Linked DNA regions of Drosophila melanogaster. The protein of the gene in region 3 interacts with the protein of the main gene of each other region in a pairwise test. Each region holds a gene or a part of one and is shown on either strand. Other genes may lie near its edges. The genes, in order: und, disco, Ccdc85 and CRIF.

What was found.
Region 1: the proteins of Ccdc85 (region 3) and und interact in a two-hybrid assay, tested with the Drosophila melanogaster proteins (one large-scale study listed by BioGRID).
Region 2: the proteins of Ccdc85 (region 3) and disco interact in a two-hybrid assay, tested with the Drosophila melanogaster proteins (one large-scale study listed by BioGRID).
Region 4: the proteins of Ccdc85 (region 3) and CRIF interact in a two-hybrid assay, tested with the Drosophila melanogaster proteins (one large-scale study listed by BioGRID).

What each region holds. Positions count from the first base shown.
Region 1 is NT_033779.5:9,760,238-9,766,984, forward strand, and holds und (uninitiated), read left to right. Parts: upstream 1-3,131; 5' UTR 3,132-3,391; coding exon 3,392-3,497; intron 3,498-3,598; coding exon 3,599-4,411; intron 4,412-4,532; coding exon 4,533-4,960; 3' UTR 4,961-5,101; downstream 5,102-6,747. Other genes in the region: zf30C (zinc finger protein 30C), read left to right, coding at 1-1,262, 1,328-1,904; Taf11 (TBP-associated factor 11), read right to left, coding at 2,285-2,606, 2,669-2,937; ppk18 (pickpocket 18), read right to left, coding at 5,120-5,322, 5,379-5,488, 5,542-5,868, 5,922-6,115, 6,175-6,325, 6,374-6,730.
Region 2 is NC_004354.4:16,209,702-16,220,047, reverse strand, and holds disco (disconnected), read left to right. Parts: upstream 1-3,297; 5' UTR 3,298-3,797; intron 3,798-6,703; 5' UTR 6,704-6,769; coding exon 6,770-8,476; 3' UTR 8,477-9,450; downstream 9,451-10,346. UniProt on the Drosophila melanogaster protein: Required for the establishment of stable connections between the larval optic nerves, the Bolwig's nerves, and their target cells in the brain during embryonic development.
Region 3 is NT_033779.5:2,997,460-3,004,863, reverse strand, and holds the start of Ccdc85 (Ccdc85), read right to left. Parts: upstream 5,579-7,404; 5' UTR 4,863-5,578; intron 1-4,862. Other genes in the region: CG3558 (uncharacterized protein), read right to left, coding at 6,616-7,073, 7,334-7,372.
Region 4 is NT_037436.4:21,566,715-21,572,384, reverse strand, and holds CRIF (CR6-interacting factor), read left to right. Parts: upstream 1-3,486; 5' UTR 3,487-3,551; coding exon 3,552-4,250; 3' UTR 4,251-4,326; downstream 4,327-5,670. Other genes in the region: SMC5 (structural maintenance of chromosomes 5), read right to left, coding at 51-268, 324-653, 732-895, 955-1,163, 1,222-1,323, 1,378-1,665, 1,731-1,829, 1,882-2,128 and 3 more; CG7634 (uncharacterized protein), read right to left, coding at 4,658-4,941, 5,006-5,151, 5,202-5,491, 5,547-5,670.

The DNA.
Region 1 (6,747 bases), 6.8 Mb from region 3:
CCCGGTTCATCCGATGGGATGAAGAAACATAAGGCCTTCCGCAAGAAGGACAGAAACAGGGACTCTGATGATGAAGATACCACCAGCGAAGAATCGGAAGATAGCGATGATGACATTCCTCTGGCCAGTCGTCTGAAGACGAAGCTCAAGCAGGAGAGCCAGAACTCGGACTCGGGCGACGAGTGTCCCGACTTCGAACCCAACAACAGTGAGGACGATGCGGATGCATCCGGATTCCAGCTTCCTCCGCCGGCTATGGTCAAGGTGGAGGCCTTCGACGAAGAAGATTTCGAGTACCAGGACGCCAGCATGTATGTGAAGACCGAAAGCACCGATATCTTTAGCAACGAAAAGGATAAGCTGCTGGATGTGCTGCTCAATGAGGGTGATGGCTTAAAGCCCTTTGAGAGCCTAAAGGTGGAACAGGGCGCTGGTATACTAGACGAAATCGCGGCCGTGCCGCTAGTGGAGGTTGCGGAAGAAGATGTCTTAGAACTGAGGGGTCATCAAATGGAAAAACCTCCCGGACCAAGAAAGCGGGGCAGACCGCCAAAGGAAAAGATACCTGTGGTCAAGAGAAAGTATCGCAAACGAAACGCACCTAGATCGCCCTCGCCTGACGATTCATCGGGTACACCAAAACGCGTAGCTAAGATCAGCAAAAAGGAGCTAAAGGAGCGCCTTAAGATGATCAACAAGATGGAAAAATCCTGGAAGTGTCCTCACTGCGTAAAAATCTACCACATCCGCAAGCCCTACGAAAAGCATTTGCGCGACGACCACAAGTTAAATGAGGCGGAAATGAAAGAGATCTTTAAGGACGTGGACGTCCATGCTAAGCTGGACGAGGAAGTCTTTAAGTGTCCCATATGCAGCAAGATCTATTTGGTGGAGAAGCGCTTGGTCACCCACATGAAGGTGCATGGCGAAGATGGCAAGCTGACTTTCAAGTGCCCATGCTACTGCAACCTCTTCTTCGCCACCAAGGAACAGGCCACTGAGCATGCTAGGGCCCAGCACAAGGAACTGCTCTACTGCGAAAAATGCGACAAGTACATGACCGGACACGACAGCCTCAAGAACCACGAACGCAATTTCCACTCGAAGAAGGAGCCGCGCAGCCAGCAGCGCAACCTCATCTGCGACAAGTGCGGCAAGAAGTTCACCGGACGCACATCGCTCTCTGACCACGTTCGTTCTGACTGCGGCCGTCTACCGCTCTACGGCTGCAGCGTTTGCGGCAAACATTTGTCCACCGCTGGGTAATAACTATTTGTGTTTGAATGTTTATTCTAAGACTGTTAGTAACGCATCTTCCTTTCCGCAGTATTCTCAAGACGCACATGCTCCTTCACAAGGCAGACACTCCGTACCAGTGCGATAAGTGCGGCAAAACATTCAAGGTGAAGGCGCAATACAAGTCGCACTTGAAGACGCGCCACACGGACTACAAGCCGTACAAGTGCCACCTGTGTCCCAAGGAGTATCCGTACAGGGAGAGTCTGCTCACCCACATGACCGTGCACACGGGCATTAAGCGTTTCCTGTGCAATAACTGCGGCAAGCGCTTCACTTGCATCTCCAACTTGCAGGCACATCGCAAGGTGCATGCCGATACCTGCGGCCAGTTGCCTTTGAATGCCAAGGCCACCCAGTACATGGGCGTGCAGCGCGGAAAACTCTTGATGGGCGCTAAGCCGGAGGCGGGCATGGAGTACGAGGAGACCAAGACCTTGATCGCCCAGGATGTCATCGACAGGGACATGCCCATGGCACAGGAGCTCAACTTCCCATCTGACGGCTCAGCGCCATTGGCCACGGTGCCCCTGAACTACGCCTCCACACACCTGGTGCCACACATCGTACTGCAGACCATGCAAGCCGAGGCCCGGCGAATGGAGTAACTTCGGAACACATTCATTTAGCGATCCCACTCAATAAAGATTCTTTTGTAAACGGATGCGTATTCTACTGTACAACAAATGGGATGACAACTACATAATAATATCTACTTAATGACTGGATTAATTAAATAACATTGAACGTAAATAAGCTACATAAAATTGATGTAGATGAAGGTTTAACGCCATACGGACCTGTCAAAAACATTTAAGAAAAATAAATTTCCTTATAAAAACACGTTTCGGAATTTATTCGTAATAGAGAAAATTAATTATATGGGATTTGTTAAAAAAATCTTTATATTTATTTACTTTTTACTTGTTTATGTATTTTTATATTGACTAACAGCCTTACAAACTATATTTCTTAATGTCTCGACTCGCTAGTTCAGTCTGAAATAGGGCTGCTGGTATCTGCCTATGGGCATCCGATCCTTGGTCCTCAGTCGTCGCACTGCCTCTCGTATGAATTTGGGCTGCAGGGCACCGGATTCACCTTGGGCCTCCATCACGTCGAGGGCTTCCTCCACAACCTCGCCGACGAAGACCTTCGCAATGCCGGACATGGCTATCACAACATTCTGGGACACGGAACAGCCGGTGATAGTTTGCATTAGACGCTTGACGGCGGCCTTGGGAAAGGCAGAGCGACGATACATTTCGTAGCGATCCAGCTGTTCTTCCGTAAAGTTGGAAACGAGAACCCTGGAGTGGAATAAAATAGTTTTTATAGGATTACCCCTTCGAATCGCTTTAAGCTAACTTACTGCATTCGTTCGCGCTCCTCCTCCTCCAGTTCCTTCTTCGTCTTGAGCTTTTTGTGCGCCGGCTCGCCAGAGTCACCATCTCCGTCCGTGTTCTTGTTGTCGTTGTCCCCATCCGCATCCTTGCCATCACGATCCGCATCGTTTCCCGGATCCGAGGTGTCGCTGTCCTTCCGCTCGCCGGAGGCCGACTGGAAGAATTTCAGGTCGACATCGTCGCCGTCGCTTAGGGAGTTGCTTTTTTGCTGCGTGGGAAAGAGGATTTCGTCCATTTAAATGAAATTTGAAAAGCACCAGCGAATAATAAACAAAATCAACCAGGGATGGAGTTGCACCATATTCGCTTTTTGCAACACTCAAAAGTTCCGCACCACATAATAGATGAATATAATTCAAAATATCGGATTAAATATATTAAAGGTATATCATAGTTGTTTATAAGGTGGCTTTGAGATTTTAATAAATAATAAATATATAAATATACAATATTCGATAAACTTTTATTTTTGTAGTGTTTTTTTTTTCTTCAAATTAGTGCTCAAAGTCAAATTATGTAAATTTCAAATTGAACATTCACTGGTTCCGATAGTCCACAGCACGTTTTACAGCACTGGCCTCTGACACCTCGTGTTTTTGTTCTTTTCTCCGCATCGCCATCGCCAGGCAAGAGTGCGCGCTACATTTTCGTTTATTTCATCGTTCAGCCAGCAACCAAGGCACTGCGAAATGTCTGCAACCGAGACTCTGAATGTGGAGGCGGCAACGCCCGAGATCGGCGAGGAGGTCAAGAAACAAAAGAAGCCCAAGCCGAACAACAAGAAGCTCCGCCAAGGTGAGTGACCTCATGCGAGCAGTGCACTGTGGTAATTGCATTTGCACGACCCTCTCCGCCTCAACCACCCACCACCCACTGAACTAACCACTTGCCCACAGAAGCGGCAGCCAAAATAGCCTCCGGAGAAGGCGGCGACGAGGAGCTGACCACAAACGGAGATGCCAAACCGGCAACACCGGCCGCTCAGCCGGCAAAGAAGAAGGGGAACAAGGGCAAGAAAAGCGGTCAGACTGATCCGCCCACCATACCCATTGCTAAGCTTTATCCGGACGGCAACTTCCCCGAGGGCGAGATCGTGGAGCACCCCACGCCCAAGGATATGCCCGACGATCGTACGGCCAAGGACCGATTCACATCGGAGGAGAAGCGTGCTCTGGACCGTATCAACACGGACATCTACCAGGAATTGCGCCAGGCGGCTGAGGCCCATCGTCAGACGCGTCAGTATATGCAGCGCTACATTAAGCCGGGCATGACCATGATCCAAATCTGCGAGGAGCTGGAGAACACTGCTCGGCGCCTGATCGGCGAAAATGGTCTGGAGGCTGGTTTGGCCTTCCCGACTGGTTGCTCTCTTAACCATTGCGCCGCCCACTACACGCCCAATGCCGGAGACCCCACTGTACTGCAGTACGACGATGTGTGCAAGATTGATTTTGGTACCCATATCAAGGGGCGGATCATTGATTGCGCCTTCACCCTGACCTTCAACAACAAGTACGACAAGTTGCTGCAGGCCGTCAAGGAGGCCACCAACACGGGCATCAGAGAGGCGGGCATCGATGTGCGCCTATGCGACATCGGCGCCGCTATCCAGGAGGTCATGGAGTCGTACGAGATCGAGTTGGACGGCAAAACATATCCCATCAAGGCGATTCGCAACTTAAATGGACACTCCATCAGCCCGTACCGTAAGCAAAAATCTATTTATTATAAATATTTTAAATATGCTTATGCTTTCCTTAATATTTTTTGTTTAAATTTATTGTGATTTGTGCAAACACTTAATGAAGTCTAAAATTAAATTCTCAGGCATTCATGCTGGAAAAACGGTGCCCATTGTGAAAGGCGGAGAGTCCACTCGCATGGAGGAGGATGAATTCTACGCCATTGAGACGTTCGGCTCGACGGGTCGCGGTCTGGTCCATGACGATATGGACTGCTCGCATTACATGAAGAACTTTGATCTGCCGTTTGTGCCGCTGCGCCTGCAGTCATCCAAGCAGCTGCTTGGCACCATCAACAAAAACTTCGGCACCCTGGCCTTCTGCAAGCGTTGGCTGGACCGCGCCGGTGCCACGAAGTACCAGATGGCTCTCAAGGATCTGTGCGACAAGGGCATTGTGGAGGCTTATCCGCCGTTGTGCGACATTAAGGGCTGCTACACGGCTCAGTACGAACACACAATTATGCTGCGACCCACCTGCAAAGAAGTCGTTTCCCGTGGCGACGACTACTAGTGGGATGAGGAACTGGACAGTGACCGATTTTCGGCGATGTATGGCTTGCATTATATACGGTTTTTGATATAAGTTCATTCTATTGTTGATTTTTTGTGAGCATGCGCCAACCGAATTATATATACAATGTATTATGCTCAGAATATAAGCGGAGTGAGATTATTTTCGAAGTTGTTCTTGTCTTGGCAGATTGCTACGGAGCTCACGCCAGTAAAGTGAATAGTTGTGATTGATAGGCTCCTTATCTAATAAGAATGACCTGTATATGTAGACAAATCCTTTGCCTGTAAGATAGTACAGGATCTCTATGTAACTGACTATGCTGAAACCGTACATAAGCGAGAGAATGCCTCCAAAGCGATCTAAAGGGTTAGTTAATATTTTTTAACTACTCGTCTTAGTTATTTACTGTACTCACTTAGCAGAACAACCCAACTGCTAACCATTTGAGATTTTGTGGCTTGGGCAAAGCGCAGTTTAAAGAAAAGCTTTATAATGGCTAATGGTCGCTCGTTGGTCAATCCCTTTCTAAAATATTCGATATTCATTATTTATCAAAGAAATTGTGGTACATCACTTACAGCAACCCGGTAAAGTAACCACTGCTATTATAAGTCCGTCTCAAAGGAGCCACGTTGGTGGTGATACTCATGCTAACTCCGTTGCAGGTGGGCAAACAGTGCTCGCACTGCCTCTGGACCAAGTTCTCTTCCTTGTTCTGCAGGTAGGCGAAGTCACTGTAGCCATACCAAATGCTCTTCCATCTCATTAGGCATGGAAGATCGGGAAGCATACAATAGTCGAGATCCATGGAACTGCCGGTCAAGGGCGGAGATACACAGCCGCAATGATCGATCATGCTCTTCATGCGGCATACCAGAAGGCACTCGTCCAGGGAGTAGTACGATCTGTAGGAACGATGTTCACCAGGTATTCCGCGGATTGGTTTCTAATTACTTACTGGTTCAGCAACCGCATGCCTTCTTCGGGATAGTAACAACGTCGTATATGTGGCGGGACTCCGCGAACCCCATCGCCTGAACTAAAAAACATCGGCTGGATGGGAATCTCCACTATGCTGTAGTGATCCACCAGCACCTCTCCCAAAGTCGTAGACTGAATGGTGGCGTAGTCCTCTTGGGGGAAAATTATGAGCTAAGGATAATAGCAAAAAAAAGGATAGGAGACTACAATTTGGAATCCTATCAACTCACTTGAAAAGCACTATTGGAATGAAAGGTATTTGTGATATCTTCCTTTGGAGTATCCTGCAGCACAAATTGGACGCTGTTCAAAATGGAATTCGATTCAAAGACAACCATTGGAACAGCTCTCATTTCGGAGTCTTCCTCAGCTCGCTTGGTCCTTAAAAACTTGTATATTAGATAGCCATATAATGTACGATACACTTACAGAAATTGGGAATAGCTCGGCCGTCTATAGTTAAATATGCAGCACACATTCGACGATGTTGGTCTTTTGAGGAACAGTTGACTGGCATTGACGGGCAACCCGAAGACAATGCCCCTAATCACCAGATCCCCGCAACCGGGCGACAAGTCCCTCAGTATATCGCGCACCGAGTAACCAGCGCCGTTGTGGTAAGCGACGAGCAGCCGATGCAGTCGATCCAGCTCCGTGGCATTCCAACGTTCATGATCGGATTCGAGGGGGTTTAGGTAGAACTGAGCCAGCACCAGCAGGCGATTGGCCATATCGTCCAGATCTAGGGCCACCGCCTGCAGCGAGGAGTTGCCCTGGTGATGGAATCTATTGGAGTCGTGGAG
Region 2 (10,346 bases), on a different chromosome or scaffold from region 3:
TGAGTATCAATGCTCGGATACTCAGGTTGATATTTAGCTTGGGTTTCTGGTTCGGGCTCAGGGCGTTATTTTTTTATTTTTTTTTTTTTTGTGTGGGTAAAAAGAGTATAGCTGGGGTATCGGAATCGAAATCGATGCAGGGTCAAAAATTATTAATGGATTTTTAATATCATTTGTGTCAGCGTAAATCGTATTTAAAGAAATCAGAGGAAAGAGAACCGAAACAAAAAATCTGAAACGATTTATTGACCTGAAGTCAAGTACGCGGCGAGAAAGAGATGAGATGTACGAATATATATATATATATATACATATAGTCGTTGGATCTTTGTAATCCACAGGGCCTCCACTTGATGGTTCGATCTGGATGGGTATGGGTATGGGTATGGGAATGAGGATAGAGGATAGAGGACGGAGAATGGTAATGGTAATCGTAATGGCAATGGGATGGAGAATGAGAACCTGGACGACAAAGTGTGAAAAATGATTGATCGATTTCGTCTCGGATCTCGGACCTCGATTACGTTTCGATTTTGGTGTTCGTGCACAAAGGGTGCCGTGCTATTCCCGTGTTAATAAAGAACTTTGTGCCCGATTCCGATTCAGTATCTTGTTCTTGACTTTAGCCCGGTGACAGTGGATCTGTGGGACTCTGAAGTCCCTGAATTTTGATTCCAGCGGCGACAGCAACGACAATCGACATAATAAGATAGCAATTATTTATCAAATCTGGCAGGGGGCCGAAATAAATCGAAAGAAACGAGCATTTATTTCTCCAAATTTTTGATTAATGAAACCATTTCGCTACACAATAGAAGAGAAAGGAAAAACGAAAGTGTTGACTAGCACTGTCCAACATGAAAAAAAAAAAAATGGGGGGGCGACATCGAGATGACCCCAGAGAAGATATTTCCATTCGTTCCAAACAATATTAAAAAAAAAACCTTCGAGGATTGACTTTTCACCTTCGAACTCACATCAATCAATTCACAAAGGCCAGTTGGCGGCGCCGAATTGAAAAGTGACACTCAGCAATGGGGAATCGATTATAAAGGCACTCCACACATTAATATTATCAGATATTATTCTCAAATCAAGCAATTTGAGGACACCTTGTTGAATAGAATCGAGGCAGCATAAAGGTTGCTGCACTTGTCACTTAAATTGATGGTACATTCTGTAAAAACTTCGTTGAAAAATGATTTTCACAACACATCTAATTATAATCATTAATTTTCACATCACATTTTAAAGTGGAATTATGGTGCTTTTAAGTTTCAGATAAATCTGTTTATCTGAAAGAATTATAGTTTGGGTTTGGAGGATTTATTCCCACCTTCAGATTAAAAATTGAAGTAAACATAGTTTTTAGGAAAACAACAGTGAATAAATTGTGTTATTTATATATTTAGAACAATTAATGTTTCTGCAAAGGTACTTGCGATTACGCGATTACGAAAGCTAAATAAGAAACAACTAATTGAATGAGTGATGCATTGTATTTGAGAAGCCTTAAAGCTTAAAGCTTTAGGTTAACAAGAAACTGATTTGGGTTTGGTTTATAAGTAGTAAGTAAACTTACTTGAATGAATTTTAGTTAGAACCTTATATACCATTTAAACGTATGGTATGATATGTAATACTTAAAGATATTGAATGTTAAGAGAGTGCTTTTTATTAAGTCCTGACCATTTCCTGGAAGTCCAACATTGATGCTAACGCCTTGTGGGTATGCAACATAATAATGCGGTCCTTATTGTTATATTTTTTTATGGTGATTAATGCAAATAGGATTTGTTCCGTACGGTTTTTTTTCGCTTTAAGAACTTTTCTCGGACACTTGTGTGGATAAATTGAAGAACAAATGTGGCCAAATATGTATGTGTGCTTTTGTATCCTTATGTGGGACATTCCGGCGTCTAGCAAATACATACATATACTGTGTGGGAGTGTGGGTGAGAATTATTTTAATTCGGCAATGAAAAGGACAATGAAACGACAAGGAGCTGTGTATATGTGTGTAGGTGCTGCTATCACATAAGGCACTTACATACCGAAGCTGTGCAATTTACATAAGTTATACATGCATACATATGTACATACATATATAGTGGTGGTGGGGGCGGTCATGGTGATAGGATCGTTGAGGGACTGCGGTAGGGGTGTGGGGTGGAAAGAGGAAGCAGCAGCGTCGCTTCTTTGTCACCAGTGCTCGAATTCCATTGGTGCTGTGTGGCGACAGGGAAAAAAAATCGAAGCGAATCGCCCCCATTGCCAAAGTGTCACCCATACACAGATACACCTATACAGCGACATTCGCACCCACACACACACCCATACAGATGCACAGCGCAATCGCAAAACAAAGAGAGCCGCTCAACGCGGCCATTCGTGCGGGTGCGATAGGGACGGCGAGAGGGCACAGCACCGAGTGGACAAGACATCAAATGACAAAAATTTCAAAAGAACCTTCGTGAAGAGAAGCAGAGAGGAGAAGCCCAAGACAAAAAGTGACGTCGCAGCAGCGACAAATTACGTACTGTGTACTGTATACTGTGGCCATTGCCATTTCACTCTCGTTGCTCTCTCCCTCTTGCGCTCTTGTGCTCCGGCTCCCTCTCTCTCGCTCTGTCACACTATAGTGCCCGGCCATGTACTCACACCATCGAACCCAAGGCACCCATACCAGCAAGCGGCGAGAGCGAGCGCTGCGTTCTCTTTGGCTGGCGGCAGTGCGTGTGAATGTGTGTGCCGCACTGACCACACACACACACGTCGCATGTCGCATGTGTCAACCCAACGAAACGGTTTCGTCCACTCAGACGACAGTGTGCGAGCGGGCGCGAGATAGCCGCACGAGCGTGCCAAGCCGCTCGCACGCACGGGACGGCGCTCTTTCGCGGCGTGAGTAAGAGAGTGGTGGCTACTCTTGCCTCGCACTGCTTTGCCGACTGGGCGAGCGGGATGGACTCAAGTGCGGGCGGATCTCTCGCTCGCACTCGGGCGAGTGCCTAATGACCCATCGACGACAATGTGACGAAGGCCAATTCCAATAGCGCGCTCTCTCACACTCTTCCAGGTGCAAGAGCGAAAGAGTGAAAGAGAGAGGGCGCAAGAGCGAGCGGGAGAGCGAGCGAGAGAGAGCCAAATGTCACCCACCCCGCGTGTGCGTGTGTGTTTGTGTCAGTCAGTCGGTGTGTCGGTGTCGGTGTCGCCGCATTTGTCGCTCGCTCTCTGCCCGCTGCGCTGCCGGCGTCGCAGTCGCCGCACAAATTCGTTGGTGAAACGACAAATCGACAATCAGTGTCACCCACGACATTCGAAGAAGTGGATCTCTGCTGTCCCTGCTCTCCGCACATCCGCATCTTCGTCGCTACTTCGTTTGCCACTCCGCATATTCACATATTCGCATCCGCATATTCGCGTCCAGTCCACTCTTCTCTCTGCCGCGCGACCCAGTGCATAAGTGTGCGTGCATACGAGCGTGTGTGTGTGTGTGTGTGTGTCATCGTCAACTGTGAACGACCAACTTTTTTAATATCTCAGCAAAATGCAACAAAAATAAATGCACCACGGGCATGAAAACAACAACAGCACACAGCTCCAACAGTGAATTCTACCATCTGAATTTATCAACTTTTTACGCAACAAAATATCAAAACAAAACAAAGCGAAAGAAACCCTTTTTTTAAATCTCAAACCTGTGACAAAGTGAGAAAATCTAAAACAAAAAAAAAAAACAGCAATAAACCAAAATACAATAAAATATCTACAACTCGCTGCTAAATTAGCAAAAGGTATGTATAGTTCGAGTAAAGTTGATTTGCCGTCGGCACTTCAAGCAAAGAATTCAAATTCAAGTGAAGTCATAGTGAATATTTTTCGAGATCAGAGGAGTATTTTCTAAAAAGAAATCCTGGTGCCATAAAAATATTACCCATTCAAGAATTGTGTTATGAAATAGGAACGCAACAATAGGATTCTTTTCGTGGTAAATAATGATCTTGTTAGGATCACATAGGCTGCTAGTGGCATTAATATGGTATTACCATTTTCATGGGATCTCTGGTGATGTGCTGCCATCTTTTACCTCTAGTCTATGGATTTTCTTATAATATCCTGACTTTGCTAAATTGAAAACAGCTTGTTAATCCAATGTTCGTAAACCCATTTTTGTCTATTTGCTGCGTGAGCTTCGACGACAAAAAAGTGATGTCTTCGGGGGAAACGCCAAATGTCAAAGTTGTAATTAAGATTTTTGTCTGCGGTTTTCGAGCTCTGTTTTTCTCGTTGATGTCCGGACCATCGGCGTTGTCATCTTTGGACCATCGCATGCCCCTTGCATGCCCCTTGTGCCCATCGACTCCTGCTTATTATAATGTACTACTATTAACAGCAACTACAACAGCAATTATAGCCGCCGGATTGCTCACATCTCGGCATCTTCCATCCCCAACTGCCACACACCGTACTCCACAGATCTTGGATCTACCATCTACCATCTAAAGCGTCTCCCAACTCTCGGAATTCTTCAATCTTGTCGTTTCTTGTCTTGGGTACTTTCAACATTTTGCTGCCTTTGCCACTGCCGATAATCAAAAAACGTTTCGTCCGAGAGCCATCAAAAGTTGTGATTGGTTTTTCCCCTACCCCCAGCTGCCCAACATCACCCCCCCTTTCACCATCGGTGGCTTAAGACATTTTAAGCGTTTGACAAAAATAATTACCCATGTACATGCATACTCACCTCGATCTGTCGACCGCGTGCACTGAGAGAAAATAGAGAGGTTGTTATTGTTTTCCGTTGCGCCTTATTGTGCTATGCAAGATTGTTATGATGCTTAGATCTTGAATTGTTTTATATTGAAATGTTAAAAGATCTATATTTTTTTTTGAGTTGAATCTCTTTTTTAAAAGATTCTTGGAAGATAAAAAGGTATAGGCACCTTCAACTCATATGATATAGTTAACTTATAATGATCTAGAAAATTATTGCAACATCTTTGGGTCATTCTCTATTTCTTGAATGGTAACAATATTTTCGGCACCTAGTCAGAAACTGATTACTTCCAAGTACCTGACAATTAAGTTTTTTTTCCCCCCTTTTTGCTCTTCTTTTTTTTTTCTTGCGCTTTCGCATTTTCGCCGTGTGTACATACACTCATTTTAATGCTATTGTTGTCATCGTTACTAATGAGCCCCATAAAAAGCGACCATCTCCTGGCTTCCTGCAACTGTGTGCGTGTTACCTGTATGCCTGTATGTGTGAGCCATAGTCGTATGTGGTTTTCGGCTTAACTTTTTAGCTGGCATTGGGCAAGCGAATGCGAATGTGTGTTCGACTTTTGAGATCGAATCCAGATAGCCAGCCACGACATCGCACACACGATCATCACCATCGTCATCCGCATCTCACCGCAATTGTCCCCAGTTTTGTGACGCCCCTGGGTTCGGTTCACTTCTTTTTTTTTTTTTTTACCCCTGATTTGTTTCTGTTTTTAACGTCAAGTCGACTGCTCACAATTACGGTAGCGAACGGAGTCCACAATAAAAAAAATGAGCTAGCTCTGGCTTTAGCTTTGCTTTTGGTTTTGGTTTTGGCTTTAACTCCGACCGATCGGATCCAAAGTCGAAGTCCGACACTGATCGCCGCATGTTGTCGTCGCCGTCGACGTTGTCAGAGGCGATTTTAATGGCCAGAAGAACCGAAAAAGCTGTAAAAGATTTCGCTCGAGTAAATGAGGCAATGTGCACTTACACAAGTAATGCGCCAGTGTTAGTGTACAGTGGGCCTTGGCTACGACAGAAATTGGGTGCATAGGAACCAAAATGATAAAGATTAAACAAATGATGTAGCGTCAGTCACTGGGATACCCCTTTTGATTATTTCAAAATACAAAACATGGCAACTCTAGTTGTTCTACTGTACTATCGGCTCGACATGAAAGATATGCCGCCATCGGTGTCGCCGATATAAATGTTCGCTTGTCTGAGTTATTGTAAGCAGTGTGTGTCTTACCAATAAATCTAGCTGGATTTGCACAAAGTTGGCTAAGCTCCTTGGAAGCTTTCACTTGGGAATTTCGGTAATACACTTGAGATATGACTTTAGAGCGCTTTCCAATGCTATAGATTAGTGCTTTTGGCGTGGCAATGCAGTCATATGTACATATACATTCGCCTCAGATATTAATCTATATCTTAAGGATATCGAATATTAATTAATGAAAAAGCCATTTGAACAGCAATGGGGTTTTTTTTTTTTTGAAGCACACAGCTGGCAGCCTTAAAGACTTTCTTTTAAATCTGGATTTCAGAATGTATCTTACAGCAATGACCAACTAATCGCTGTAATCCACTGATTAATTGAGACCCCCCCCCAAAATAAAGTTTTCTCCCCTTGACTTATTCGACCGTCTTGACTTTTCGCACTCTAATTGCGCATCAATGACCACTGCCCAATGTCCCAGGTCCAGGAGTCAATGTCCATGTCCCCGGCACCACAGACCATTCAACAATTTGCCCTGCTGACTCTCGGCGATAAGGTTGATTCCAGTTTCCCAGTTGTAGTTGCGCAATCGGATTTGCCCCGCAACCCTGGCAATAGTTTTCGATTAGGACTGACCGATTCACTGACTTCCTGATTGACACTCCCTGATTGACACTCCTAACGATTCGTTTCTGTTTCTTGTTTGTTTTCCAGGCACCACCAGTCATCGCCATCGCCATCGCCAGCGCGACCATAGAAACAAAATCCACCACAGACGACATGGAGCACATAATGAATCCGTTCATGTCACCGGCTTATCTGCTGGGCCATGGCCCACATTCCCACCAGCATGTGCACTCCCATCTACCGTCACACCCGCAGCCAAATGCCGCCTCTCCGGCCAGCTCACCCGGCGGATCCAGTGGCTCTGGATCGGGATCGGCAGCGGGATCGGGCACTGGATCAGGTTCATCCTTAAAGCCTCGTCGCTGGGGCTCACCGCCCATCAATCTGGCCGGTCAGTTTATCAATCCAGCCACGGGAAAGAAACGAGTACAGTGCTCCATTTGCTTCAAGACCTTCTGCGACAAGGGCGCCCTTAAGATTCACTTTTCGGCCGTGCATCTTCGCGAGATGCACAAGTGCACGGTGGAGGGCTGCAATATGGTGTTCAGTTCGAGGCGTTCGAGGAATCGCCATAGCGCCAATCCGAATCCCAAACTCCATTCGCCACACATCCGGCGCAAGATCTCGCCGCACGATGGCCGCACTGCCCAGCAGTTTCCGGTTTTCTCGCCCGGAACAGCCGCAGCAGCGGCCGCTGTCGCCGGACGACTTCCGGTTGCCTTTCCCGGACTTCTGCCACCGCCGCCGCCGCATCATGGTCACCATCCGTACGTCATGTTCGGCGGACAGGCGGGTCTACATGGCTTGGGCCTGCTTTCCACCGGCTGTCAGGATCCCGATTCTGGATCGGTGGACAATGAACAGGATGCTGATCCCGAAGATGACAACGACTTTGTGTACGTGGACATGCAGGCCAATAGCTCTAGTCCGGCGGCCTCCAGCGAGGATCAGGAGGAACACGAACGGGATAATGAGCAGGATGAGGAGATGCACTGCAGCTTGAGCCTGGCCAGCAGTAGTAGCATTGCCGCCGATGAGGAGCGGGCAGCTGACCAGCCATTGGATTTCAGCCTTCACAAGCGTCGCAAGTCGGAGCAGGATCGGGAACAGGAGCAGGAGCAGGAGCAGGAACGGGAGCGGGAGGCGGAAAAGGAGCAGGAACAGGATGTGGAATCCGACAAGGAGCACGAACCCGAACAGGAGCATGAGCTGGAGCGTGAGAAGCGCTCGCCCAGCGATGCCTTCTCCATGGATCAGTTGCTGGGCAAGCGTAAGCGTCACGACAGCACCGCCTCCAGCTCCGCCTGTTCCACGGCAGCCGCCTCCTCCGCCTCTAGTTCCTCCGCCAGCGCTAGCGCCAATCCACCACAGACGAGCATCAAAATGGATCTGGACCCGGATAGCGACAGTGCCTACATGACCAGCCGGCGGCAAATGCTCCCACTGCCCGTTCTGGACCTCGAGGAGCATCATCATCTGCGCCTGCTGCAGACCCAGATGTTTGCCGCCGCAGCGGCTGCCGCTGCCACCAGCCAGGCACCGCCCACCGCCTTCCTGCCGGCGGGATCACCCGTGGATCTGGCCAAGGACTCGCCGCCCATGTGGAGTCTCCTCTCCGAAATGTACCGCTCCATGCTGCTGAAGACACAGCACCAGCAATACAACCACCATCACCAGCTGCAGCAGCAACACCAGCAGGAGCAGCATCATCATCTGACCCTGAGCCACCACCATCAGGAGCAGCACCATCATCTGGGTCATCACCACATGGGTCACCACCACCATCATCACCATCAGCACCACCAACAGCAGCCGCAACAGCAATCGCCGGCGGCCACGAATGCGCCGATTTCCGTCTAATGTCCAGACTGCTGATCCATGGCGATGATTTCTAGATGATTTCCTTAGTCAAATTTGTTTTTATATTTTTTTTTTGTGTGTGAATCGTATTTTAAGAAGAATACATTTGGTGGCGTGCTGCATTACACAAAAAGGTGGAGCTTCAGGTGGTGGGGCTGTGCCACAGCTTGACCATTAAATGGCTGGCACTCCTCCTCAGGCGCGACCCCGCAACACCCGCAACCAATGCCACTAAGTACCCCACCCCCCCCTCTGAAAACTGGAATTGCTCCGAAACTAAGCTTTTTCTGCTCGTACATGTGTTATATGGATTTTTTTTTTTTTTGGAAACCTATGTATAATGTATAATGTATACTGTAGTGCGACATCTAAGTGTATAGTATTCAATCCGTTCCTCAGTGTGAATGTGCAGATGCATGAATGAGAGTGTGTGTGTGTGTGTGTGTGGGATCCCAGGATCGGATCCAAAAAAAAAAAAAAATTAAAGTCTGTCATCTGAAAAGCGGGCTGGGCAGTGCAGAAGCGGGGATTTTGGAACGGGTTCCGTTTCCCTGCCCCCTCTATCGGTGTACAACGAAGTATTGATATTTATAACGAAATATATATTATGAATGGCATATATTAAATAGTTTTAAGACAATTTTTTTCGTAGCCAATAAAACTATATTGTATTGTATAACTTGGATGTACTAACACAGCAAGCAAATTCTATTGAAACATATCCCCCCCGTGTGTTAAAAAAATAAAAAACCAGAAGAGATTCAATTCAACCAATCCCTAAAGAAAAAAAATAAACCCAAAAAAAAAAAAACAAAATTATAAAAATCCATCGCAAAGGTTGATAGATCGTAGGTGAACGAAAATGTTATTGCTATCGCAAACGAAAATTCCTCCCGACGATTGTGTACTGTATTACAACAAGATTTTAAGTTTTTTATTAACAAATAAACAACGGCAAAATTGAAGAAACATGTAATCAAAGATGCTTTTTTTTATTGGTTCTCTGGGCGGATACATAATTTTCATGTTTTCACTATGAAAATAGAGCATATGTACTTTATGTGAATAATATAGATGAGTCATCGATTTTATGCGGATTTTGTTTTTCCATTCGAAAGATATAAAGTCCAGTGGAAAATATCTACAAAAAATTGCTATTTTCGTTAAATGCCATTTAATTCAGATATATTACTGCCCACCTTAAATCATTTAGTAATGTTTTTACGTAAATAGACCGATGTGCGTAACTCATTTGGATCACAATCACAAGTCAAGCTAGCTCTTCTCGCCTGCGAAAAGCACACGTACATATTTGCTTGTCTCAACGAATCCAGATTCAAATGTATATAGTATTGGTCTGATGAGATCTATAATGGGCAACGCCCTCGAAATGGTCTGTCCCTCCCGTTTGCACAAATGAGTATCCGAAATGCCGACGGACACTCACAAGAAGGCGTGACATGCGGCATAAATTGGTTTTCGGCTCCGCAACTATAGCATAGCATACCATACCGAAACCATACTTTACGGTTCCGAACCATACCATACCATACCAAACCAAACCATACCATGCCATACCATACCATGCCATACCATACCATATTCCTATACTCCATCCAATACTTGTACATATCGTACTCCCCCCGCGAATCGTCGTGATGAATGACCAACTATTGGTCGCAGCGGCAACCACATCATCATCATCATTATGGATAGGCATTTGAGGCCACTTATGGACGGATTACACACTCAGGCGCACGCACACCAATATAGATACAAATATATGTACATATATGCAGATACAGATACATAGTCTGTAGTGTAAGTGGCCAAATAGAAAGACCCTAAGTAGACGGCTGTAGGAATCTCA
Region 3 (7,404 bases):
TGGCAACAATTCAGTTGGTAGACGGAGAATTGAAAAAACGCAAGAGCTGCAATATCAGATCAAATTTCCCCCAGTGTTCCTTTTGGTCACTGAGCCATGTCGATCTGCTGTCTTCTGCTCCTCGCAACAGCTGGGCAAGAGGTGAGGTGACCAGTGGTTTGTCGGTTGGTCGGTTGGTCGGTTGGTCCACCGTTGGAGGCTGCTCTTGTTTATAAATCAAGTCACATTAAGTGTAATAATAAACGCAGATCGAGGCGAACTTGAGCCGGTTCTTGGGTTCAGCGTCGATTGGGTTGGGGCTATATTAAGGCTGTTCTGCGGCTGGTGGCGAATTGAATAAGTCATAACAAGAGAGAATGCTATAGTCAAGTTCACCGACTATCGGATACCCGGTACCCAGCTAGTGAAAGTACCTGTTACATACATTTTATCGAATCTAAAATAGCCTCCTACTTACTCTACGAGTAATGGGTATCAAAAGGGGAGGGTGGTGGCGCAAGGTGGGAATTAATAAAAATCTGGCCAAATTGTGGCAGCGCGTTCTTCTCCGCTTCGATAATTATGGAGACCAGAGCAAGCGAAAAGAGAGAGGCTTCGGCGGAGCTGGGGAAATGTCAAAACGTACGCTTCATTGCCGTCGCCTGTCTGCTGTCTTCTGTCTTTTGGCTTCAGTCTTCAGCTCAGTTCACAGTCTTCTGGTCTCTACTAACGATAACGACAACAAAATGCTGATGGCACAAATTATAGTCAAGCAAGAAAGAAAAACGGAGCCGGAGTTGGAGTTGGAGTAGAAGTTGGAGCTGCAGTTTGGAGCTTGGAGTTGGAAAGAGCCGCGGCTGAAGACCGGCAGGCCGGCAGTAGAAAGCAGAAAGCTAGCCAGAAAGCCTCCGTCTTTCGGTCCCCAGTCCCCCAAGCCCGCTTTGTCTCGAGCCCCACAATTTCCGCCATTTATGACAGTCACAAATCGAGTTACACTCACATACCCACCGCCTCGACTTTGTCTATAGCTATAACCATAGCTTTGACTTTGGCTTCAGCCTCAGCTCCAGCCCCAACTTCAGATTGAGCCTCTCCTCCAGACCGCCGCGTACTTTCTAATTTCTAGGCGCACTTTTTCACTCGATGCTCTGCCGCCTGGCTGCCGTTTTTGATGTTTAATACCCTAGAAAATGGAGGGGCACACGAAACTACTCTATACATTTGCACAATATTGTAACTTCAATATGTACTTTAATTTGTGTAACATAGCATTTAAGTTCCATACTTAAAAATTATCTTCAAACAAGATGTTTCTTTCGAAATAGGCTAACTAAATACTTCCTATTATAGTGTATGCCACATTCGTCATCTGTGGTTTGCATTTATTTACCAATATGTTTGTTGTCACTGCTTTCTGTTGAGCAAACAAGTTTTTTGGTATTTTTTTTTATTATTATTGTTCATCTCTTGGGTCTCCGCCAAGTGTTAATGTTCATTTGTGCATGCGATATTCACCAAATTGCATGCAATAGAAATTTGTTGTCGAGGTCGCACCGCTCCGCCAAACGAGCATCAAAACAGACCCAATGCCGCCACTCGGTTCCGTTGATACCACGGATGCCCCAGTCCCCCAGCCCAGATCTCGAGCCCCAATCCGCAATCCCCACTGTAACCATAACCATTCACAATGCCAAAACGGCAGCAGCGGCGGAAAAAAACGACGCTTTTGGAGGAGGTTTTTTTGGTAGCTAAGTGATGGGAGGTCAAATCAGTTACAGTTACGTGAGGCTGTTTTGGGCCAACAGGAGAACGTTTTGGCCAGAAGCAGAGCGAATTGAAAGTAAAGAAGGGGCCTCCTAATGAATCCCAAGTGGAGCACCCCTCAAAGCGGATTCCATGCGATTGGAGGCCATTTGATGATCTCATGGCAGTTCCAATCGACTGGTCTCATTTACATTCCTTCGGCATTTATGTCGAATGGGATCATTGCCAATTACAATGATATGTGTAGAACCCATCTGGCATATCTTTTTTGGTCGTAGAGGAAATAGATTAGAATTCTTATCATTGCATCTTTTACCTAATTATAACTTACTGGTTTATTACAGGAATTCTATAATGATCATGTTCCATAAAGAAGACTTGCACTTATCATTTGCGGTCTTTTTTATCTGATTTACATGCTCAAAACATGATATGTCGATCTATAGATCACTTATCATACATTTCAACCGGTTCCGTTTCGATCATTTCTGGAATTTATAGCATCCCGAGACGAGACTTGTTTTTTTATATTAGAGCATTCTGATACAGTTATTCCAAATCAATTTTCCCGGCGAATGCTTAGAATATTTTTTTAGATTTCCGTAATTTAGTGGAGCTGCTAGCTGCTCGAGACGCCCCCTTGTGCTTCCTCGTGGGCCGGAGCCACATGCTCATGACCGTTTGTCATTTCCAGAGGCGCGCCAATTGCCAGAGTGGCCTGCCAAGTATTTCTGCGCACTCTGTGTGAGAAAATGTGGCCAAACGGTTAATAACAGGGGAGTAGGTTGGCCAAAAGGGGGTTTCCTCCAGGCGACCGCAGAAACGGCAGCAAGAGTCAACATGACCGAGCCTAAAAGAAAAGTCACAGTTGCGCTCAAACGAATAGCACCAAAAATGTCACTCAAAGATAATATAAGTCTTATATAGCATATTATATTCTGATCTCTTATTAAATAATCTTGGCGTTTATATAATTTTTGGGATATATGTATGATATACGATTTTGTGAGACGTGTTTATCCACAGATCGCAAAGCGAAGCATTTAAACTAACCTACTTCTAGCATTTCCACCGCCACTATAAGCATGCAAGTATGTGACCATGTGGAGGAGATTCCAGCTATGGCTGCCGGGACAGGAAACTTAAACTAGTTCTAGTTCGAGTAGCTGGCTTCTAGCCGTTCCACAAACTGGGACACTTGTTGCGCCAACTTGGACACTCGATGGCTGGATGACTTGGCTTGGTCTGCCCTGGCTTGGCTCGCAAGCAATCAAACCTGCAGCCCCAAGATGACAAACAGACGAGGCTTCCCACGCATCAGTCACTCCCATGCCGCCCCTGCCACTCCCACGCATCCGATGGCCGAGTCCCGAAGGCCCGGAAAAGAGAAGCCAGGCTAAATTGTCTTAATGGACCATGAAGAGGAGCCCGCGGAGACGTAGAGATCCAAAAGATCATTATACTCCAAAGAGATTCTGCAGATGGCGGCAGGCGCGCGTAAATCTCGAAACCGCCCAATTAAACAGAAAGATATACGTATATGGATGGGTGCTTATAGGAATATAAAGAGCAGGGCGACACACAAAACAAAATCACCGGCGAGGAGGACAGACAACGAAAGAGTGAACGGAGGACCGGCGGCGATGTTGGCGTGGATAAGCCCAAAAGAAAGTTTTCTTTCATTGACAAAAATTTCTTACTCGACTGCGCTGTCTTTTATTTGCCGCCGCGTACAACGAACTTGGCCTCAGTTGCCCACGGGCGCGGATCTTAACCCATTAAGATGCCGGGCCAAGTCAGGAGGAGATTCTTGTGGATACTTTAGAAAAGCCTCATGACCGCAAAAAGATTCCAACTCGGATGAAGGCTTAAAGAAATGAGTAATATTAAACATTCAACTTAGACCCCTAAGGAAACATACTTTTTGTCCGAGAAGTAATAGTGTTAATAATTGTATTAATATTAATTACTATTTACATTTTGCCAATTCAAACGATGCCTGACTGTTGCATTGTTTGTGGTATGTGGCCAAGCAGTTTTCCCAACTACACCATCCCGCCTTTCCATTTAACCCATGGACAATGCATTTGCATTTCTTGGCCGATTTCTCCCTTTCGCGTTAATGGGTTAATGCTGCTGCTGCTGTTGCCTGGCATTAGTTACAGTTTTCCGATACACGAAATTGACTTTACATATTTCAGGCAGCGGGCGATGTAACAGGTTGTTCGGCGCCATCTCTTTCGCTCTTGCGGGCATTTCGTTTCGAAACGGTGGCGTCGCTGCTTTTACCTGTTGCATGCGGCGTGGTTGTTGCTGTTGCTATTGCAACTGCTGCAGCAACAACAAAAGCAACGGCGATGCTGCAGCGTGGTCGGTTTTCGCTGCTGGTTTTGTTTGATCTTGTGTCTTATTGTTGCGCGTTGTCGTGTATCTTTCTGCCTGTTATTTGTTGCTTTCCTCGGATGCGATACTATCGCCATCGCTCCTGCTGCCTCTCCTTCTCACTCACACCAGCAAGCAACTGTTGAATTTATTGGCGCATATAAATGCCTCAAAATTGATGTTATTGTCGTCCGATATTCCCTTTCTTGCCCCCTTGCCGCCTCGCTGGCTCGTTCCTTTGTTTTTGTCCTGCTTGTTTTGAAAATTGATTTTTACTCGGACTTTTATGGCCGTAGTGGCCGAGCGATAAGTGGAGGAAAAACCCGCCTTCGTTTGCGCACCGTGGAGGGAAAAGACAAAAGACCAGAGACAAAAGAAGAACAAATGGGCAAGGTGGGCGTAGCGCTGACAAAGTGGGCGTTCCCGAGGAGAATAGAGCAATTTTCTGGATCGAAGGGAAAAGAGGGGGCAATGAGTTAATTTTCCGTGGGCCGAGGCCCATGGATTTTTAGTCGACTGACGTGGGCTTGGTACACGTAAAAAAGTATTGATTCAATGTTTTTTCAATAGCTGAAGAGCCTGAATTGAACTTTTTGTGAGTGAGTTATCATGTATGTTATTCAAATAGTTCCTTGCACTGTACATTAATTGTGTGGAGAAACGTGGGCAGGGAAAATGGCAACTTAGGCCAAGGCAACTGCAGTTGCTGCAATTGCCAATCTAACAGCAAAACTCACCTTTTATTTTTTTTTATTCCAATCCGATCGCGCGCTCTCTCTATGTTTCTCTATCTATCTCTGTTTCTCGCTCCTTCTCTCCTTTCAAAACAAATCACAAATATTTGCGCATGCGCGACTGCGCATTCCAGGGATACAGATACACACAGACACACACAATACACTGGCACACAGGGGCACTCGATTCCGCCGTTTGTTTTGCGGCTAATTGTTTATACAGCGTAGATTATTCTTCGCACTGGATGTATTTGTTCATCCGGCTATTTTCGTTTGTTTTTGCTCCGCACGAGCAAATTTGCAGCGCACACGCAGCCGAGAATTCGCGCAATCGCTTTTTCCTGTATGTATCTTTTATTGGCCACAGTTCGCGAGTTTTCATGCCCTTTTCGAGAGCCAAAAAGACGCGTCGCCTGCTGCGTTTCGCGAACTATTTTCGGTTGGCTAGAATCCCGTAAAGGCGGTTTCAGCCGGTGTTCCCCTTGCACTTAACAAACACTCAAGCGGCACTCGCAACTAAAGAACAAAAAGTTTGCGAAAATGCGGGCGGTGTGATTAGTCGCCAACACGAATGTATCGAGTGCAGGGCGGGGAAAAGTATAACATAATTTATGCGATATTTAACAATAAAATAAACACAACGCAATAATTCAGCCGGCGATGCGCACTTTTACGTTTTTTGAACGGCAAACGATCGCAACGATCGCAGTTTTGTGACTGAAAGCGACCGATTTCTAGAGATGCGTTCAACCATCCACAGTGCTGTCGACTATCGATTGTTTGTGTTCGACTAAGATATCGGAGTGGAATGTGTTTGGTTTAAAGTGTGGGCATAAATCGATCAATCGATCAACTTCTATTTTAGTACATATTCAAATTCAAACTCTTCCGTTAACGATCTAAACGGAAATTTATCTTGCCTGCTTCTTTTAATAAGTATAATCTTGAATATATTGGCTTGAAGTTTTCATAAGAAACACTTTTATTTAAAAACATTTTGGCTAAATTTCAGCGCCTAAATTATCATCGTATTTCGCCGCCACACCCCAAAGGCAGTTCTCCCAATGGCCCTCAAACCTAAACTGTGTTTCCGATGCAGGCAGCTCCTCCAGCTTCAGCTGACTTGCGCAGAATGAACTGTGCGTTTACGTGTCGCACCAGAAGAAGGTATACCCAGTGAGTCCCTTTGACTCCTCTGGTGGTTGCCATGTTATAAAATTGGCTCTCACGTTAAACCTGAAATCCTAAGCTAATAATAAGAATAACTAAATCTTCTTGGCTGTGCATTTACTTGGACCAATTTAATACTTTCAAGTTGGCTTTACATAACTTGTGTAATTTGATCTTGCATACATAAAAGCATAAAATATATTGCAAAAATACATATGTATACATGGTATGTGTGTTATATAATTCTCTCTATAAACGTTGTAAATTTTGCGTACGGCTGGTAATTAGAATATTTGTTTACATCTGAACACTTAAGATCCACCGTCCCGATTCACTTAAAACATTTAACCTAAATCTATTTGTTTAACGCGTTGAGTGTTTCTCTTTTTTTTTTTTAGTTGAGTCCGTGTGCATTAACTTGTAAATCTGTTCAAAACTGCATTGTTCGTTAAAAGTTGTTTTTTAAAATATAAATATCGAAAATTTAACAGGTAAAAAGAATAATTTCGTAAGAGTAGCTGGTTAAAACAAACAAGGGCTAACAAATCCGTAAAATATGTATACACAAGCTTTCCGTTCCAAGCGATCATAAAGACCCCTGCTCCGTGACCAGCACAACGCTCTGCTCCTGCGCAATGGCAGCCAGCTCCTTAAGCCACTCGTCCATGAGCACAGCACATAGGGCCAGATCGCGTGATCGCTCGGTGCCACTTGTGCTGGCGATGATTCCCATGGAGGCCACCGAGTCCAGGGACGCCGGCTCCGAGTTGAAACCACCCGTCGACGGGCCGCCATCCAGACCGTGCAGAGTGCTCGCCGAGTGGGTGGTTGTGTTCGACTGGGCGGAGAGCGTTAGGGTGGAACCTGCGATGCTGCTGTTGCTTCCCGATGCCGCTGTTGACGTCGCGTTGGCTCCTGTGCGTGATGCTCCCGCTGGGGGCTGCGTACTCAAGCTGGTCTCGCATGTGCCTGCGGACGTCTGAGCTTGTGATATGCCTCTTCCATCGTTGCTGGCATTATTCCCCACCAGATTCGAGGCAGCTCCTAAAAACGTATGCGAGGATTAGCAACAGCACATGATATTGACATTTTGGGTTAATTAAAAAACAACAATAACCACATGTATATATGGGATTCCACAAATGTTTTCTATATTCTACTATTAACTATTTTTTTAGTGGAAAGCATAATGTACAAAGCTCTACGAAAATAAAGATACTACGCACAAATATTAACAAGACTATGCCATATTGGGTTAGGTTTGATTAAAACTTTAAATATTTTATCAAGCGTGAAATATTTACCGGTGAAGAATGCGTAAATTTGTGATAAGCCAGATGAAGCTAAGATTTGTTTGATTTTTTGATCGATTCGA
Region 4 (5,670 bases), on a different chromosome or scaffold from region 3:
GCAAAACATTCCTATAAATAAATTCCTTAAGTGCATTTCGATTTCCTTACGGTTGCTGCTTTACTCTGTTCCTCGCTTTCCTTGAGGGCTTCAATTTGAGTCTCATGTTGCAGCATATAAATGGATACCTTTGTCTGGGCCATATTCTTTTCAATTATAAGTCGGTCAATAGCTTTCAAGCACGAGCACAATTCCGCATCAGCATCGAATATTTTTTTTAAGTCTTTATGCAAACTGTTACAAAAATTGGTTTCAAGACAGTCTAGCGCTGAAAAAACACGGTTCATAATGGCTGAATATTTAGTGCACTAAGAAATACTTACAATCGCTATTGCGCAGGGCTTCCAGCTTCTTTTGGAGCGTTTCAATTTCGGTTTTCAGGCTATTAAAATGGGCTATTTTTTGGTCAAGCTTTCGTCTCTTCTCTTGCTCATCCTTTGCAACAGCTTGCAATCGTTCAAATTCATTGTCGGTCTGGGTTATTGCGTTTTTAATGCTGTCGCTTTCCTTCACTGCTTCGGAGCACTGTTTCATCACCAGGGCCAGTTGTTGTGAGTCCACTGTAATAAGTTGGTTCTTCGCTCGAATGCTACTTTCAGTTAGAATAGTATCCGACCGATAGCGGGATGCGGTCACAACGAACTTCTTGCTGCCTAAAATGCACAGTACGGAATTCAAAATCAGAATTTATACATTTGCGAAGCGAAACCGAATAAGAAAAATATACACACCGCCGAAATAAACTCGGATAGCTTTTGGAATGGATGAAGTGTAATTGCCCACAGCTTCTGTGCCAATTGGTATATTATGAATGGAATAGGAAGCGCACAGCTTGTTTATTAGTGGTATTGGTCCCGTGACAAGATCCACGAGGTATGACCGAAATCCGAAAGAGCTGTAAAAGTATTTAAAACTAGGTATTGGACTAGTATTGGACAATTGACAAGTGCATACCGCAGATCATCGATGGGAGTTTTGGGACTGTACACGAGTCTATCGGATGGTGCGCAGTAAATAACGTTAACTCCCAATTTTTGCTTCACACACAACTCGTTGATCAGGTCCGACATATCCCCCTTGTCCTCACACGCAAATGCAAATAAATCGCGCTGCGCCACAACGTTTTCCAAAAACTTTGCGTCCTCATGATTTTGTACTGTAAGCTATGATAGCGGTTTTAACATTAGGCCATTGGTAATGGCTTCATTTTGAAAAGCTCACCTCAAGTATCATTGGGTCATAAACGTTCAATTTGTACCTTTGCTTATTTTGCGCCAACCAGTTCATGGCCACAACCAAATTCGGATTTTTTGCTCTAATTTCCTAAAATGAAAGGTAGCGTTAAGTTGAGTTTTCATTATTTCAGTAAGAACTTACATCAATCTTTTGCATTTTGACGTTTCTCAACCGCTCTATTTTAAGTTTATACGCAGTAATTTCAGGAATCATTTCATCATTCAGTTTTTGTTCCAGTTGTCTCCGTCTGCTGTACTGCTCCATTGCTTTCCCGCGGGCAGCTGCGCACGATTCCTTAGCCCTTTCAAGTTCCGAAACGATCAGAGGCCTGCTCTTATTTAGGGTTTCAAGCTCGTAAATTTTATTCTCCACCAACTGATTTAGGTTATCACACTCTGTGGCCGTTCTTCGTGATTTTTTAATGTTTTGCTATGTGACAGAATGTAAGATTAAGAGTTATTCACATGATCGATATATGCAACAAGAACACCAACCTCCAGTTCATATTTTTTTTGGTAAATTCCTTGCTTCAAAGAGTCCATTTTACCATCAATAGCCGCCTTCTCCGCTACAGCGTTTTCTAATAAGCGTGTCTAAAAAAACTTATTTTTAAAAAATATATTAAAAAACACTGCCACCCATTACCTTTTCCAATAAGGCCTTTCTGAGTGATTCTTTTTCCTTCTCAATTTGTTCTTGGGATTGAAGAAGTTTGTCATGTTGGTTCTTCAATTTGTCGCTCTGAGTTTTTGCGTTTTTCACTTGAGTTTTCATTTCTGCGGCCTTGGCTTCTCCAGCCTGAGTCTCAACCCACAATTTCTTCGCACTGTACACCTGCAGCTTTTGCTTGACCTCTTCGCGTTCTTTATATTGGGACACAGTCATTTGTAAGCTAATAAAATGATATTAAGACAATTAGGTTTTTAGTAAGAATTAAAATTTTGTACTTCATCCACACATTTGGTTACATTTTACTTAGTGAATAAAAATAAGCTCGGGTAACTATATCTTACTGTTCCAATCGTTTTTGCTTCTTAACCAGATCACTTTTCTCTTTTTCCCGATTAGCATGGACATTCGCCTGTTCTGTGCGCATTTGCTTTAGACTGTTGAAGCTGTTGATCAGGTCTTCGTCACACACGGAGGACATTGTGTTGAGCAAAAGCTCTTGAGGATTCATCTTGGAGAAGTCCTGAAACAGTATGTTTACAATAAATAGGTGTGTAATTTATGAATTGCCAACATAACGACATACCTGAACCCGATCCTGCGGGAGGAACTGACACAAATTGCTGACTTGTATGTTAAAGGAGGATACAGCAGCCAAAAAGTTCTTCTTGGAGGTGTCTTTGTCGTTCACAGAGAAGGTAGACAAGCCATTAGAGTTTATTATGCGCCGAAAGGTTTCCGTGGTGTTGGGCGTGCGTCCATACACCCGGACAATTATGGTGGCCGAGGTTTTGTTGCTCTGTATGTAGTCGGCAACGCTGGCGGAGCGATCAAGGAGAATCGGTTCCCCTCCGAGGCCCAAAATTATGGCCGACACGATGGTGGACTTGCCACTGCCATTGGGACCGGTCAGAACGTTCAGGTAGTGCTTCGGATGGAATGTGATCTCGCTGTAGGATCTGTTGTTGGAAATAATCAAATGAGCCGCGAAATTGTCAATTTGCGCCTTTGATGGAAATAAACCTACACGAAATCTTTGCAGTACACGGAATGTATGCGCCCCGCCAATTGCTTGGAACTTAAGGCACGATCCCCCGCCATGTCGTGGCGTAGGCTTTTATCCGAGCAAATGCTTATTTCAACTTAAGTAAAACGAGTTGTTTTAAATGCAATTCCGCGCTTTCAAGAATTTAGTTTTGCATTAGGGCATATGTGCACGTACCATTGTTGTCGATAACGATTGGTATATTAAGGGTACACTTGTGCGCCGCCCGTATGTATAATCAATTTATGTTTCTTTTATATTTTGAGCTGACAACATAAAAATGATAATTTTAAGCCTCAGAAATCTATTTTCGGAATAAAAACTGACAAGTAAAATGTCAGTAACAAATCGTGGAAACGATAATTACAAATTGATAGAAATAAATAGCAAGGAAAAAAGAAATATATAGAGCTTGAGCTGGGATGCAGCCAGACTGTCACAACAATTAATATCTATTACTTATCTTTCTGACGGGGCCTAAAAAATATCTGAATTTAGCTCCAAAAGGGTTTAGTTGCCAGCATTGGTGTCATCGCTATCGATTTTCTCTCATCTCTATTGGAAATTAATAAACTATTTTGCTTAGACAATACAATTCAAAATGAATGTAGGCAAGATAAGCGTTGTCACCAGACTTCCTGCCCTCCGCTCGTGCGCCCAGTACTCGAGCGCTGCGAAAGCGGAACTGCCGGCTTCCTTGGTCGGCGACGTGGATGTGGAACCAACATATCCCCAGACGGTGGACAGATCCGGCCTGCAACCACAACACAAAAATGTGCTCCTTAACAAATTGCCATACCAGGAACCTCACTCCTGGATTCATTTGACCGAGAAGTACCAGAGACAGGCATTCGGCCGGTATGGGGCCCAGAGCAATGTGAATCCCAAGATTTGCTTCGATTCCCACGGAGAGAAAGACAGCAGGCAGGTTATGCAACTAGAAACACTCCTGAAAATGCTGGAGAAGAACCGCGCGCAGAAGGCAGAGGAGCTGGCAAGGATAAATGCCCGTGAAGAGGACATTGCGAAGAAGATGGAGAAGTTGACACAGTGGAAGGCGGACCTGCACGCGAAGATCGCTAAGCGGGAGGCGGATGCAGCGGCAGCCATACAACGCAAGGAACGCCTGGTAGAGGAGGTGCGCCGACACTTCGGGTTCAAGGTGGATACACGCGACGAACGCTTTAAGGAAATGCTAGAGCAAAAAGAGAAGGAGGACAAGAAGAAGCAGAAGGAGGCCAAGCGAAAGGCCAAGGAGGAGAAGATGATGGCCAAGCTGGTAGAGAAAGCATCAGTGTAATATTTGTAGTATCAAAACCATCGATTTAAGCGAAGAACTGTTGTATGTTACACTAAAATAAAAACACTGCAAAAAGAAGAGCACTTATTATCTGTACTCCCATAAAATATTTTAAAGTGTTGCAAAATATTTTATATTTTTATAAATTAAGACAAGAATTTGCTTAGACTAGTGAAAAGTAAGCCCGATGTTTGTGTAATATATACGTTACACAAGCATTATTTTTAAAAGAGGATCAGTAGCCGAGTCGATCTAGCCATGAAGGAGCTTGCAAGTTGATAATAAGAATGCAAATTCCAAATACGCAGGGGTACTTGAGTATAGGTATCTAATAGGTCACTACACTATTATAATTGCACTGAGAATTTATTAATCAATATTTTTGGTTATACAAATAATACAAAGCTCTAATTGCTATGGCGCACGGACAGGGAACTATACACCGATTTTTCGCTTTCGCGCCGGCTATTCGCAAAAATGCTCTGCTTCTTCACGATGAATTCCTCCTCATTACAGTGTATACAGGCAGTCAAGAAGTTATGAATATGCTTTTCTTTCAATTCCTTGGAAATTTTTAGTGCCAGATCTAGAGCTTCACTGGTTCGCTCGACTTTGTGGAGTGCAGCATTCGCCTTTATTATCAGTAGGTAGCACAGAAACTGCCAAATGTAGCTATTGCATTTTTTTGCCTCTAAAAAGATAGATATATAGGTATTTCCATAACCGTTTAATAGTATAGCACTAATGGACCAAACCTTCAATAGACTTTCGGGCACTAAAACAGCATTCGTCAAACCTGTGTGATTTAAGATGAATCTCTGCCATTTGGTGAAGTAGGTAGGACTTCTCTATAGGGTACTTTGCGAAATTCATACGGTTCTCGAGTCGGTTTCCCATTAGACTGAAAACAAAATAAATTAAAATAGAATTTTTATCTCGACTGCGAGTTACCGTGATTTTGTCAAGGCCGGATCTACTGTTTCCGAGCCTTGGTGCGTAGTTCGATCCCCAAATACGAAGTGTTTCACTTCCTTTGACTTGTCCATAGGAAAGCGAAGCAATCGAAGCAGTGCGTTCTTCTCCGAAAAGCGAAAGTTCTTCGGAAGCGTGTACTGATCTACGTAGGCAAGCGCCAAAATATTGTACACCTCGTTGATGAATTCGAATTTCCAGGGCATAATCCTGTTGGTTTTTTTCACCACGTAATCTCCCATAACTTCCTCCACGTAACTGGTGAGTTTCTAAAACCATTAATCATTTAACCAATCTCTGTTCGAATTCATTCAAAATTCTTACTGTTAGACTCTTGGTTTTTCGAAGGTACCGAATACTACGCAGTGCGGAAATCATGTTTCGTCTTGTTTGGTACTGAACTCGAAAAAGATATTCCTGGCGAAACTTATCCATCAACTTCTTGTTT